3 linked regions of the Macaca fascicularis genome follow. The protein of the gene in region 2 binds, or shares a complex with, the protein of the main gene of each other region. Links are inferred from orthologs where the notes say so. Each region holds a gene or a part of one and is shown on either strand. Other genes may lie near its edges.

Region 1 (3,652 bases), on a different chromosome or scaffold from region 2:
AGGGGAGGAGTAGGAGAAGTCAGAGGAGCCAGAGGTCTCAGTGGACCTGGTCAGGAGACAAGGCACAGGGCCTGTGTGAGTGACCACAGCAGGAAAAGTGAGAGTGATTCGCTAGCCCTCAGGGGCAGGCGGTGAGGGCATTCCTGGAGGCACAGCTGTGGCCTGGGGCAGTGAGCGCTGGTCGTGGTCACTGGTTTCTGGTTTCTTACTCACTGGCTGTGTGGCCTTGGGCCAGTCACTGCATCTCTCTGAGCCCAGTTTTCTCTACCACAGCGTGGGTAGCCAGCACCTTCCTCGCGGGGATGTGTGTAGCAAGAACTGGCTTGTGAACCTCCCCTACTCCAAGCTTGGAGCCCTGGGATGGCCCTCCCAGCATTCTTTGGGCTTCCCTGTCTCTGATGTTTATCAGGCCCCTCACCCCATGTCTGGACTCCTGCTAGCTGTGGGGGCAGGATCAGACTTGTACTCCTTGGTGGCCCCAGTGCTGGCTCTGCACCCGATGCATAGTAGGTGCCCAGCAAATGCATCTGGAGGCTCGTTCGATGGCCCTGCAGGGCTCTCTGGGTCTGGCAGGAGACGCTGGGAGTCAAGGTCAGTGCCCCACGCTATCTCCTTGGCAGCACATATCTTTCTACCATGTGCCATGGCCCTTCCCATGGCCCGTGACTGACAGCTTTCACACACACTCTGGGGTGGGCTGAAAGGTCCCAGAAGCAGCCCTCTTTCCCTGGAAGGTGGGAGACGAATGACAGCACCCTAGCTTCCTGCCTCCTCTGGGGACGCCCTGAGCACAGTCCATTCTATCTCCCAGGCGGCCCCAGCAGGACTGAGCAGCAGTGGTCCACAGCCATGACAGCTCAACCACCTGCCCTGTGCCAGCTGCTGTCCCCTCCTTTATTCCTCCCCACTCCCCTTCTGCGGCGTCCTGGGGTCACTTCCCAAATAAACCCCTCATACCACCTCCTTGTCTCAGGGTTTGCTTCTGCGGGGACCCAGCCTGAGAGGGGATGAACATTCATTCAACAAATATTGAAGCTGGGCGCGGTGGCTCACGCCTGTAATCCCAGCACTTTGAGAGGCTGAGGTGGGCAAATCACTTAAGTTCAGGAGTTCAAGACCAGCCTGGTCAACATGGTGAAACCCTGTTTCTATTAAAAATACAAAAATTAGCTGGGCATGATGGTACATGCCTGTAATCTCAGCTACTTGGGAGGCTGAGGCAGGAGAATCACTTGAACCCAGGAAGCAGAGGTTGCAGTGAGCTGAGATGACACCACTCACTCCAGCCTGGGCGACAGAATGAGACTCCATTTCAAAAAACAAAAACAAAAACAAAAACAAAAAAATAAACATGGAGTGACAGCATAGGGAGAGAGTTAAGTTTATTCATATCAAGACTTGGAGGAAAATTTACACAGCCTCAATTACCTTTCCAAAGGACAGGTACAAGTAGGAAAAGGATTCAGAGATAATCTTTATTTCTTCTTGTTTAGTTGTATTACATTTTTTAAAAATATAATGAATCAGTCACGAAACAGATAAAGAAACCTAATTGCAAATGCTGTGTGACTTTGGGCCAGTTGCAGACTGTCTCTGGGTCTCAGCCTCCGAGGAATGCCATGGAGCTGGACCACAGTCCCCAGGTTCTGGGGTTTGAGACTGACCTGACCTCTGCCTTGACTGCTCCCCACAGGTTTGACAACTATTCAGCCAATGTGATGGTGGACAGCAAGCCGGTGAACCTGGGGCTGTGGGACACTGCTGGGCAGGAGGACTACGACCGTCTCCGGCCACTCTCCTACCCACAGACGGTGCGCTGCTCCCCCGCGCCTTGCAGTCCTGACCTTTGCTGTCTCCATTCCCTCTGCTTGGAATGCCCTTCCAGTCAGCTCAGCCTGGGAAACCCTTCCTCTCCCCTGAAGGCCCAGCTCAGGGAGTCTGCCTGCCTTGCATGTCCCAGGCAGAGCAGGGCCTCCTCCTGCACTCCCCCAGCCCTGTGTTTGTTCCCGGTCCTCAATGTGCCTGTTTTCCCACCCCACTGCCTGCTGGGCTCTGGCACCCCCTATTTCCAGTGGTGGGGCAGGTGGAGTCTGCACAGGGCCCCAGGTTGGTGAGCCCTGGGAGTGCTGGGGGAGGGGAGAGGTGGAGGATGCCTGCAGGTGGCTGCTGGGTCCTTGCTCTTCCTCCAGGGTGTGCAGGGAGGCGGCTAAGGCCTGCAGATGTGGATGGTATATGGATTGGAGTATGGACTCCGGAATCCCAGATCCGCCCCTCACCAGAGTGCACGCTGGCAAACCCTTTAACCTCTGGAAGCCTCACTTTCCCCATCAGAGGAATGGGGCTAGCAGCAGTGCTTGCTGCAGGGTGACATGTGAGGATAACCACTTTGCAGAGGCCCTGACCTTTAGTAAGCATCCCAACAAACAGCAGCCTCGTGGTAAAGGCGAGAAGGGTATCTCTGCTCTGCCCAGATCCTAAGTCCCCAGCGTCCCCTGGGCTGTTCCACCCTCAGGGAGCCCCAAGCTCCACCTCTCAGTGACTGCCATGGTGGGACACCTCTGGGCCCTCCTCAGTGGCAACCCTCGCTTGCTCTGTCCCCAGGACGTCTTCCTCATCTGCTTCTCCCTCGTCAGCCCAGCCTCCTATGAGAACGTCCGTGCCAAGGTGAGTTGGACAGGGTGGGCCTTGGGGGCTCTGGGGAAGGTAACCCTGAGGGACAGAGGGAGGAACTGGTGACTCTAGACTGGTCCCTGGGGCAGCAGAGGCCGCATACAGAGAGGGTCCCCAGTGCCAACCAGGGCTGGCAGGGGGACTGAGGGGGTAATATTTGGAGGGTCTGGAGTGGGGGTGCAGCGATAGTTAGCTATACCCCCACTTTCCGTGGCTGCGTCCTCCTCCTCCCTACACAACCTCATGTTCGCCTCCGATTGTCACATAACCTCATGTTTGCTTCTTATGTGTGCACAAAACCTCGCCTCCTCCTTTTCTACAATCATGCGCCCCCTCCTTCCTGTACAACCTCGTGGCCTCCCTTCCCTGTGCCACCTCATGTCTCTCTTCACCCTCATGCCCACGTCTGATCTTCTAGCAACTGGGTGCCCCTCCTTTCCCTACACCCTTTTACCCCCTCTGATCCCTGCACAGCCTCATGCCCGCTCTTGACCCATACAACCTTGTGTCCCCCCACCCACCTGCCCAGTGGTTCCCGGAAGTGCGGCACCACTGCCCCAGCACACCCATCATCCTGGTGGGCACCAAGCTGGACCTGCGGGACGACAAGGACACCATCGAGAAACTGAAGGAGAAGAAGCTGGCTCCCATCACCTACCCGCAGGGCCTGGCACTGGCCAAGGAGATTGGTACGGGCCTCAGACTCAGAGAGGGGAACTGGCTGCAGGGGAGCCCTGACTTGGCCTCGTGGTGTGTAAACATGGGCTGCAGGGCCAGGCTGTGCAGTTCGAACTTAGCTGTGCTGTGCACTTGCTGTGTGATCTTGGGCGAGTCACGTAGCCTGTCTCTGCCTGTGTTTCCTTATCAGAAAAGCAGGGGCTAGTGATAGCTCCTGCCTGCTGGGGTGGTTGGGGGAATTCAGTGAGTTATTCCAGGTGGAGCTCCCAGGGCGGCACCTGTGTGTGGGAAGCACTCTGTGTTA
Region 2 (3,652 bases):
AGCCAGGATGGTCTCGATCTCCTGACCTCGTGATCCGCCCATCTTGGCCTCCCAAAGTGCTGGGATTACAGGCTTGAGCCACCGCGCCCGGCCTGATTTTTCAACTTTGCAATGAAGTGAAAGCAATATGCATTCAGTAGAAGCCATACTTCAGTATTGCATTCAACAAATTACATGTGGTATTAAACCTTTTATTACAAACAGGCTTCTTGTTAGATGATTTTGTGGAATTGTAGGCTAATATAAGTGTTCTGAGCACATTTAAGGTGGTCTAGACTAAACTATGATGTTTATTAAGTTAGATGTATTAAACCCATTTTAGACTTATGGTATTTTCAATTTAATGATGGTTTTATCAGGATATAACCCCATTGTAAGCTGAGGAGCATCTGTATATATAACGTACATAAGCATATAAAGGATTCTGTATATATGTATATATTTTAATACGTATTTATATATGTATCACATATATATTTATATGTACATATGTGTTTATAAAATTTAATTTATGTTTTTGTATGTTTTATAATATACTCACTACCTTTATAATTATTATGTATATATATTGCCAAGTATTATTCTTATGTATCTATTTACATAGATTGTCTAATTTTATCCTCTCACCAACACTATAAAGTAGCTCCTATTATTATCCACACTTTACAGATGAAGAAACTCAGACCAGGTTAGGTCATTTTCCTAAGAGCACCCAACAAGTAAGTGACAGAGACAGAATGTGCCAGAGCCTTCACTCTCAGCATCTCGCAGTAGTTCATGATTATCGTTTATGAATAAATTATTATATATCTAATGAAGGTGGTATATATGCATGTATGTGTGTGTGTATGTGTGTGTGTGTGTGTGTACAATGAGGGTGCTCTTCCAAAAATGTTTGGAGACCACTATAATAAAGTAAGCCAATAGTTCTCAACAGGAACAGTTTTGCTCTGTTCCCCCCAAGACACACACCAGAGACAGTTGGCAATGTAAATATCCTACGATTAACAAGACAGCCCCCCACAACAAAGAATTATACAGTCCCAAATATCAACAGTGCTGAAATTGACAAACCCTGAAACAAGTTAATGATTCCTGGAGTGGTAACATCTTTGTAAATAAGCAAACATTAATGACTTGGCCTGGAAACAGATGCTGCCACCATGAGTGAGGAGCTAAGGCAAGAGTCTCTGCATATTTCTGTCCTGTGTCTCAGCTGGTGTCTTAGTCCATTTGTGCTGCTATAACAAAATACCCGAGGCTGGATAATTTATAAAGAACAGAAATTTATTTTCTCAAAGTTCTGGAGGCTGGCAAGTCCAAGATCAAGACACCAACAGGTTTGGTTGTCTAGCAAAGGCTGCGTCTTCTGGGTGGGAGAAATTCTGTGTTTTCACATGGTGGAAAGAAAAAGGGCAGGCTCATCGAATACTGTGTGATGACTCTTTTCCAAAGCCCTTAACTCATTCATAAGGGATGATCCTTTATGTCTTAATCATCTTTATAAGGCTCCACTTCTTAATGCTATCACATTGGCAACATCTGAATTTTGGAGAGGATACATTCAAACTATAGCAACTGGGTATACACAGACATTGGCTCCACAACCCTGAGCATCTTCCATGTGCACCCTGTCACTGTGAAGACTGAATTCCCATTTGGGTTTTGACATATTGTTTACCACAGATTCTCCAAGTCTTAAAGGAACCTTGTAGCAAATACAGATTAAGGAAACATCACCATAAGAATTGTTGCTCCAGAAAAAGTGGTTTTGAAATGCCACTTCTGCAATTTAAAAGCAAAACAAAAATGCTTTGATAAAAATAAAACTCAGGAAAAATCTATATTATATAAACTGCTTTACTGTTTTGTTATTTAAAAAACAAAGCACAGTTTTTTTAAATCAGTAATTTATGTGTTAAAAATTAATTATTTTGCTTTACCAAACTGATCTCCATAGGATTATTAAATTGGAGTGCCCACCTTTCTTAATATCCTCTATGCCCATCATCCATCTAGTGAATTTCAAATCTGATTTGCTTTTTAAAAATAAATTTAATTAACCACTTTCATGAAAAATACCTGTTGTTCAAACTGAAGCCTCCTAGAATGGTAGCAGAAAAACAGCATGTGACTATATACACATACGCACGCACACACGCACACACACACGCACACACACGCACACACACACGCACACACACTAGCTCTAGGCTTGATTTGATGCCTTATTATGCTACCAAAGTATTGCTGCATTTTAGTCAAAAATTGTTACATCTCTTAGTAATTCTCCCAAAGGAGTGGAAGTATATTAGGGTGAAGAGAAAAAGTCAAACATAGAACAGAGAGAAAAACAGTGAGACACTACTCATCCATCAATGCCTGACTCAAATACTGCAGCCCTAACCCTTACCCTGTTCTTCTACTCCACCTTCCTTCTTTGTTCTCATTAGGACACTTGTGCCTCTTTCATGACACTCATCATACCCTGTTCGACATATGGGATTATTTATATTTATACTTCAAAGTCTCCCTTTCTAGATTGTAAATTGCTTGAGAGAGATCCAGTTTATTTATCTTTGTATACCTTTCAGCATCCAGCAGGGTGCCTTGGTTAGAATAGTTTGTGAAGGATGTAAATACATTGCATGTGCTTTTACAGCATGTCTCTTTTTTTCTGAATTCATGTCCTTTCCTGTAGGCCAATCACTTTGCTGTGCACCATGATGAGGAGAAAGATGTGATCACAGGCCTGAAACAAAAGACTTTGTATGGACGGCCCAACTGGGATAATGAATTCAAGACAATTGCGAGTCAACACCCTAAGTAAGGAGTCTGTCACCAAGATGTTTTTGAAGCTTGCATCTGCCTAAAGCAGCAGCCCCCATACATATCTAAACTTGTATATTTTAGAAACTCAAATATGTATATTACTATATAAAGGTTGAATTCATGCCCAACAAAAGATTCCAGATATCTTCAACTTTAAGAAGGAATCTTTAAATTATACCAAATTACCTGGAGAGTTATTAAAAACAAAGATTTCCAGGTCCCCATCTCAGACTTCCTCAACCTGCCTGTCCCAAGTAGGGTCACAACTTGGTTCTTTTCTTTAGTCTCCTAAATTTCATTAGTGTATCTGCTTCTTTTAAAGATTCAATACAATTTATACATATTGTTAAGGAGACACTGTCCCCACTTTTAGTTACAGCTTCTGGGTCTAAAATCTTAAGTTGACAGATGTCTCAAGGTGCTTTCTGCTCTCACTAAAACTTTAGTCATTATAAAACCTTGAGGGGGATCACTTATCTTGCTAGAACACCTGAGAAACTCAAGAGATCACCATACAGGTACCCTGTAGACTATTGCTTTTGGCACTGTAAGGAGCATACAAAGTACCTGGGGATCTCTTTAAAATGCAGATACCGATTTAGAAGATTTGGGGTAGGGCCAGGTAATCTGCATTTTTAAAAAAGCTGACGCCAAGGCTACTGATCGGAAACCACACTTTGAACAGGGCTTTAGACTCTAAAAATTAGAGAAATGAAGCCACACCGAGTGGCTGGCATAGTTGGCTTGTTCCTAATTTCAAGATGCCAGGGGGTACAGAGCCCTGAAGGAAAGTAGCCCACAGACTCATGAATTCACCACC
Region 3 (3,652 bases), on a different chromosome or scaffold from region 2:
GGTTTGGGAGCCCTCTGACAAACTGAAAGGGTGGATCAGGAAGCATCTGACCAAGCCACTGGTACCTAGTAGACACGCTCTGCGTCCGACAAGTCCTTCCCAGCAACATCCAGAAAGCAAAGTGCAGGCTTTGTTCCAAGGTCGTCTAAATGTTTCCCTGTGTTTCCTTTTTGTAGGATGTGTTCTTAATTTGCTTTTCCCTTGTGAGTCCTGCATCATTTGAAAATGTCCGTGCAAAGGTAGGTGGGGATTTAAAGTATGTGAGTTATAGAATGACACTCTCAGAAATAAATACTTTATAAAGTATAATAATAATAAATAAATTTTAAAAAAAAGAAATAAATACTTTAAAATATCACTTAGCCTAGGAATTTTCAGTTATTTAAATTGGTTTTAGGAATTTGCTACTTAAGTACATGATTGGGTTTTTTATTCTTTTGAGACAGGGGTCTCACCCTGTTGTCCAGGCTGGAGTGTGGTGGTGACATCGGAGCTCACTGTAGCCTTGAGCTCCTGGGCTCAAACAGTTCTCCTGCAGTTCTCCTGCCTCCGTTCCTGTGTTGCTGGGACAGTAAATGTGCGCCGCTGTGCCTGGCTAATCTTTAAAAATTTTTTGTAGCGCTGGTTTTGTACACCCTGGCTGGTCTCAAACTCCTGGGCTGAAGTGATCCTTCCACTTCAGCCTCCCAAAGTGCTGGGATTATGGGTGTGAGCCACTGCGCCTGAGCCATCAGCAGTTTATTTTTATTTATTTATTTTTGAGATGGAGTCTTGCACTGTCACCCAGGCTGGAGTGCAGTGGCACGATCTTGGCTCACTGCAACCTCCACCTCCCGGTTCAAGCGATTCTCCTGTCTCAGCCTCCTGAGTAGCTGGGATTACAGGCGCCCACCACCACACCTGGCTAATTTTTGTACTTTTAGTAGAGACGGGGTTTCACCATGTTTCCCAGACTGGTCTCAAACCGCTGGCCTCAAGTGACCCACCCACCTCAAACTCCCAAAGTGCTGGGATTTCAGATGTGAGCCACTGTGCCTGGCCTAATATGTGGATTTTTAAAGCTTCAGGTTCTGGTTCAGAAGTTTCCTGGACCTCATTAAAATAATGAGGCACTCAGAATTGGTCTAATAAAACTAACCACCATTTCTTTCTACTCCAGTCTCTTTCACAAACTTCTTAGTGAAAATGACGAGACAGGCCCTTCAGTAGGGACATTTTCAGTGGGGATAATGGCGGCAGACCTGAGACCTTGGGCTAGGTAGTTTATTCTCGTTTCTGAACAGATGATGAATTTTCTCAGATGACCCTAAGAACTTGTTTTACCAAAAACAAAGTGGTTTATTTGCTTTGGGAGGAACTCTCTTCCCTTCCGCCTCTTCCCTTGCGGTTGTAGAGCCCATTCTCTCTGGTCGTGGTTCTGTCCGGCCATGATCCGGAGTCCTAGCTTGCTCATGGAAAACCTGAGATGTTTCTTATGGCTCAAGGCTCAGATTGAAGGTGGGAACCACATGAAGGCTCGGTGGGGAGGCTGTGCCTGAGGTTAGGTGTCTGGCACAAGTGCCGCCGGCTGGGTGTGATTTAGGTGAAAGGCGTCTGTAAAGGAGCACATCACAACCTCTGTTCCTTCTTCACATCTAGTGGTATCCTGAGGTGCGGCACCACTGTCCCAACACTCCCATCATCCTAGTGGGAACTAAACTTGATCTTAGGGATGATAAAGACACGATCGAGAAACTGAAGGAGAAGAAGCTGACTCCCATCACCTATCCACAGGGTCTAGCCATGGCTAAGGAGATTGGTATGGAATCCTGCGTTTTTCCTCTGCCTTGTACCTCTTTTATTGTAGTGACAGAGACTGGAGTCCAGTCTGGGAAAGGAGGGTGTGTGTCTCCCACTCAGGGCCTGGTTGTACTCTTGGGGAACCAGCTGGCATCGCCTTCTGGGTCTTAATGTCAGCGTTGGAAGGTGGACGCAGGGCTGGGAGCCGGCAGAAAGTGCCCAGGCCCCCGGAGCTGCCTCCCGCCGGTGTTGTGATCAGAAGAGAGTGGGCTCAAGTGTACACTGCTGTGTGGTCGTGTTTTCCTGTAGGTGCTGTGAAATACCTGGAGTGCTCGGCGCTCACACAGCGAGGCCTCAAGACAGTGTTTGACGAAGCGATCCGAGCAGTCCTCTGCCCACCTCCCGTGAAGAAGAGGAAGAGAAAATGCCTGCTGTTGTAAACGTCTGAGCCCCTCGTTCTTGGTCCTGTCCCTTGGAACCTTTGTACGCTTTGCTCAAAAAAAAAAAAAAAAACGGTGGAGCCTTCGCACTCAATGCCAACTTTTTGTTACAGATTGATTTTTCCATAAAACCATTTTGAACCAATCAGTAATTTGAAGGTTTTTGTTTGTTCTAAATGTAAGAGTTCAGACTCACATTCTATTAAAATTTAGCCCTAAAATGACAAACCTTCTTAAAGCCTTATTTTTCAAAAGCCCACCCTATTCTTGCTCAGATTCAAAGTTGCCAAAATACCTTCTGAACTATACTGCATTGTTGTGCTAAGAACACCAAGCACTAAACTGTGTAAGGACCTTCGTCTTTGAGAAGACTGTAGCCTCTGCAGTTAGGAGATGCAGACACTTGCTCAGTAGTTCTCAGATGTGTAAAGCAGAACAGCCTCCCGAATGGTGCGTTGCCATTGAACTCACCAGTGATTTAGCGGCCCATGTTCACGACATAACATTGTACTGTAATGGAGTGAGTGTAACAGCTCAGCTCTTTGGATCAGTCTTTTTGATTTCATAGTGAGTTTTCTGACCAGCTCTTGCGGAGATTTTGAACAGAACTCGTGTTTCCTCTAATGAAGAATTCTGTTTAGCTGTGGGTGTGCCGGGTGGGGTGTGTGTGATCAAAGGACAAAGACAGTATTTTGACAAAATACGAAGTGGAGATTTACACTACATTGTACAAGGAACAAAAGTGTCACGGGTAAAAACTCTAAAAGGTTAATTTCTGTCAAATGCAGTAGATGATGAAAGAAAGGTTGGTATTATCAGGAAATGTGTTCTTAAGCTTTTCCTTTCTCTTACACCTGCCATCCCTCCCCAAATTGGGCATTTAATTCATCTTTAAACTGGTCGTTCCCTTAGTCGCTAACTTAGTAAGTGCTTTTCTTATAGGACCCCTTCTTACTGAGCAATATGCCTCCTTGTATTATAAAATCTTTCTGATAATGCATTAGAAGGTTTTTTTGTAGATGAGTAAAAGTGCTTTCCATGTTACTTTATTCAAAGCTAATAAGTGCTTTCCTTAGTTTTCTAGTAACTAGGTGTAAAAATCATGTGTTGCAGCTTTATAGTTTTTAAAATATTTTAGATAATTCTTAAACTATGAACCTTCTTAACATCACTGTCTTGCCAGATTACTGACACTGTCACTTGACCAATACTGACCCTCTTTACCTCGCCCACGCAGACACACGCCTCCTGTAGTCGCTTTGCCTAATGATGTTCCTTTGGGTCTGTGAGGTTCTGTAAACTGTGCTAGTGCTGACAATGTTCTGTACAACTTAACTCACCGGCAAGAATACAACGCGGAACCTTTCAGCCACGACAACAGGATTTTTTAAATTGACAGTTGCAGAATTGTGGAGTGTTTTTACATTGATCTT

What was found. The genes of interacting proteins can lie anywhere in the genome.
Region 1: CYBB (region 2) and RAC2 share a complex: the UniProt entries of both Homo sapiens proteins name them as parts of the phagocyte NADPH oxidase complex. The link is inferred for Macaca fascicularis from reciprocal best matches to the Homo sapiens genes CYBB and RAC2.
Region 3: CYBB (region 2) and RAC1 share a complex: the UniProt entries of both Homo sapiens proteins name them as parts of the phagocyte NADPH oxidase complex. The link is inferred for Macaca fascicularis from reciprocal best matches to the Homo sapiens genes CYBB and RAC1.

The regions. Positions count from the first base shown.
Region 1 is NC_088384.1:14,440,496-14,444,147, forward strand, and holds part of RAC2 (ras-related C3 botulinum toxin substrate 2), read left to right. Parts: intron 1-1,693; coding exon 1,694-1,811; intron 1,812-2,601; coding exon 2,602-2,664; intron 2,665-3,199; coding exon 3,200-3,359; intron 3,360-3,652. UniProt on the Homo sapiens protein: Plasma membrane-associated small GTPase which cycles between an active GTP-bound and inactive GDP-bound state.
Region 2 is NC_088395.1:37,738,710-37,742,361, forward strand, and holds part of CYBB (NADPH oxidase 2), read left to right. Parts: intron 1-2,701; coding exon 2,702-2,826; intron 2,827-3,652. UniProt on the Homo sapiens protein: Catalytic subunit of the phagocyte NADPH oxidase complex that mediates the transfer of electrons from cytosolic NADPH to O2 to produce the superoxide anion (O2(-)).
Region 3 is NC_088377.1:45,964,072-45,967,723, reverse strand, and holds part of RAC1 (ras-related C3 botulinum toxin substrate 1), read left to right. Parts: intron 1-176; coding exon 177-239; intron 240-1,638; coding exon 1,639-1,798; intron 1,799-2,088; coding exon 2,089-2,219; 3' UTR 2,220-3,652. UniProt on the Homo sapiens protein: Plasma membrane-associated small GTPase which cycles between active GTP-bound and inactive GDP-bound states.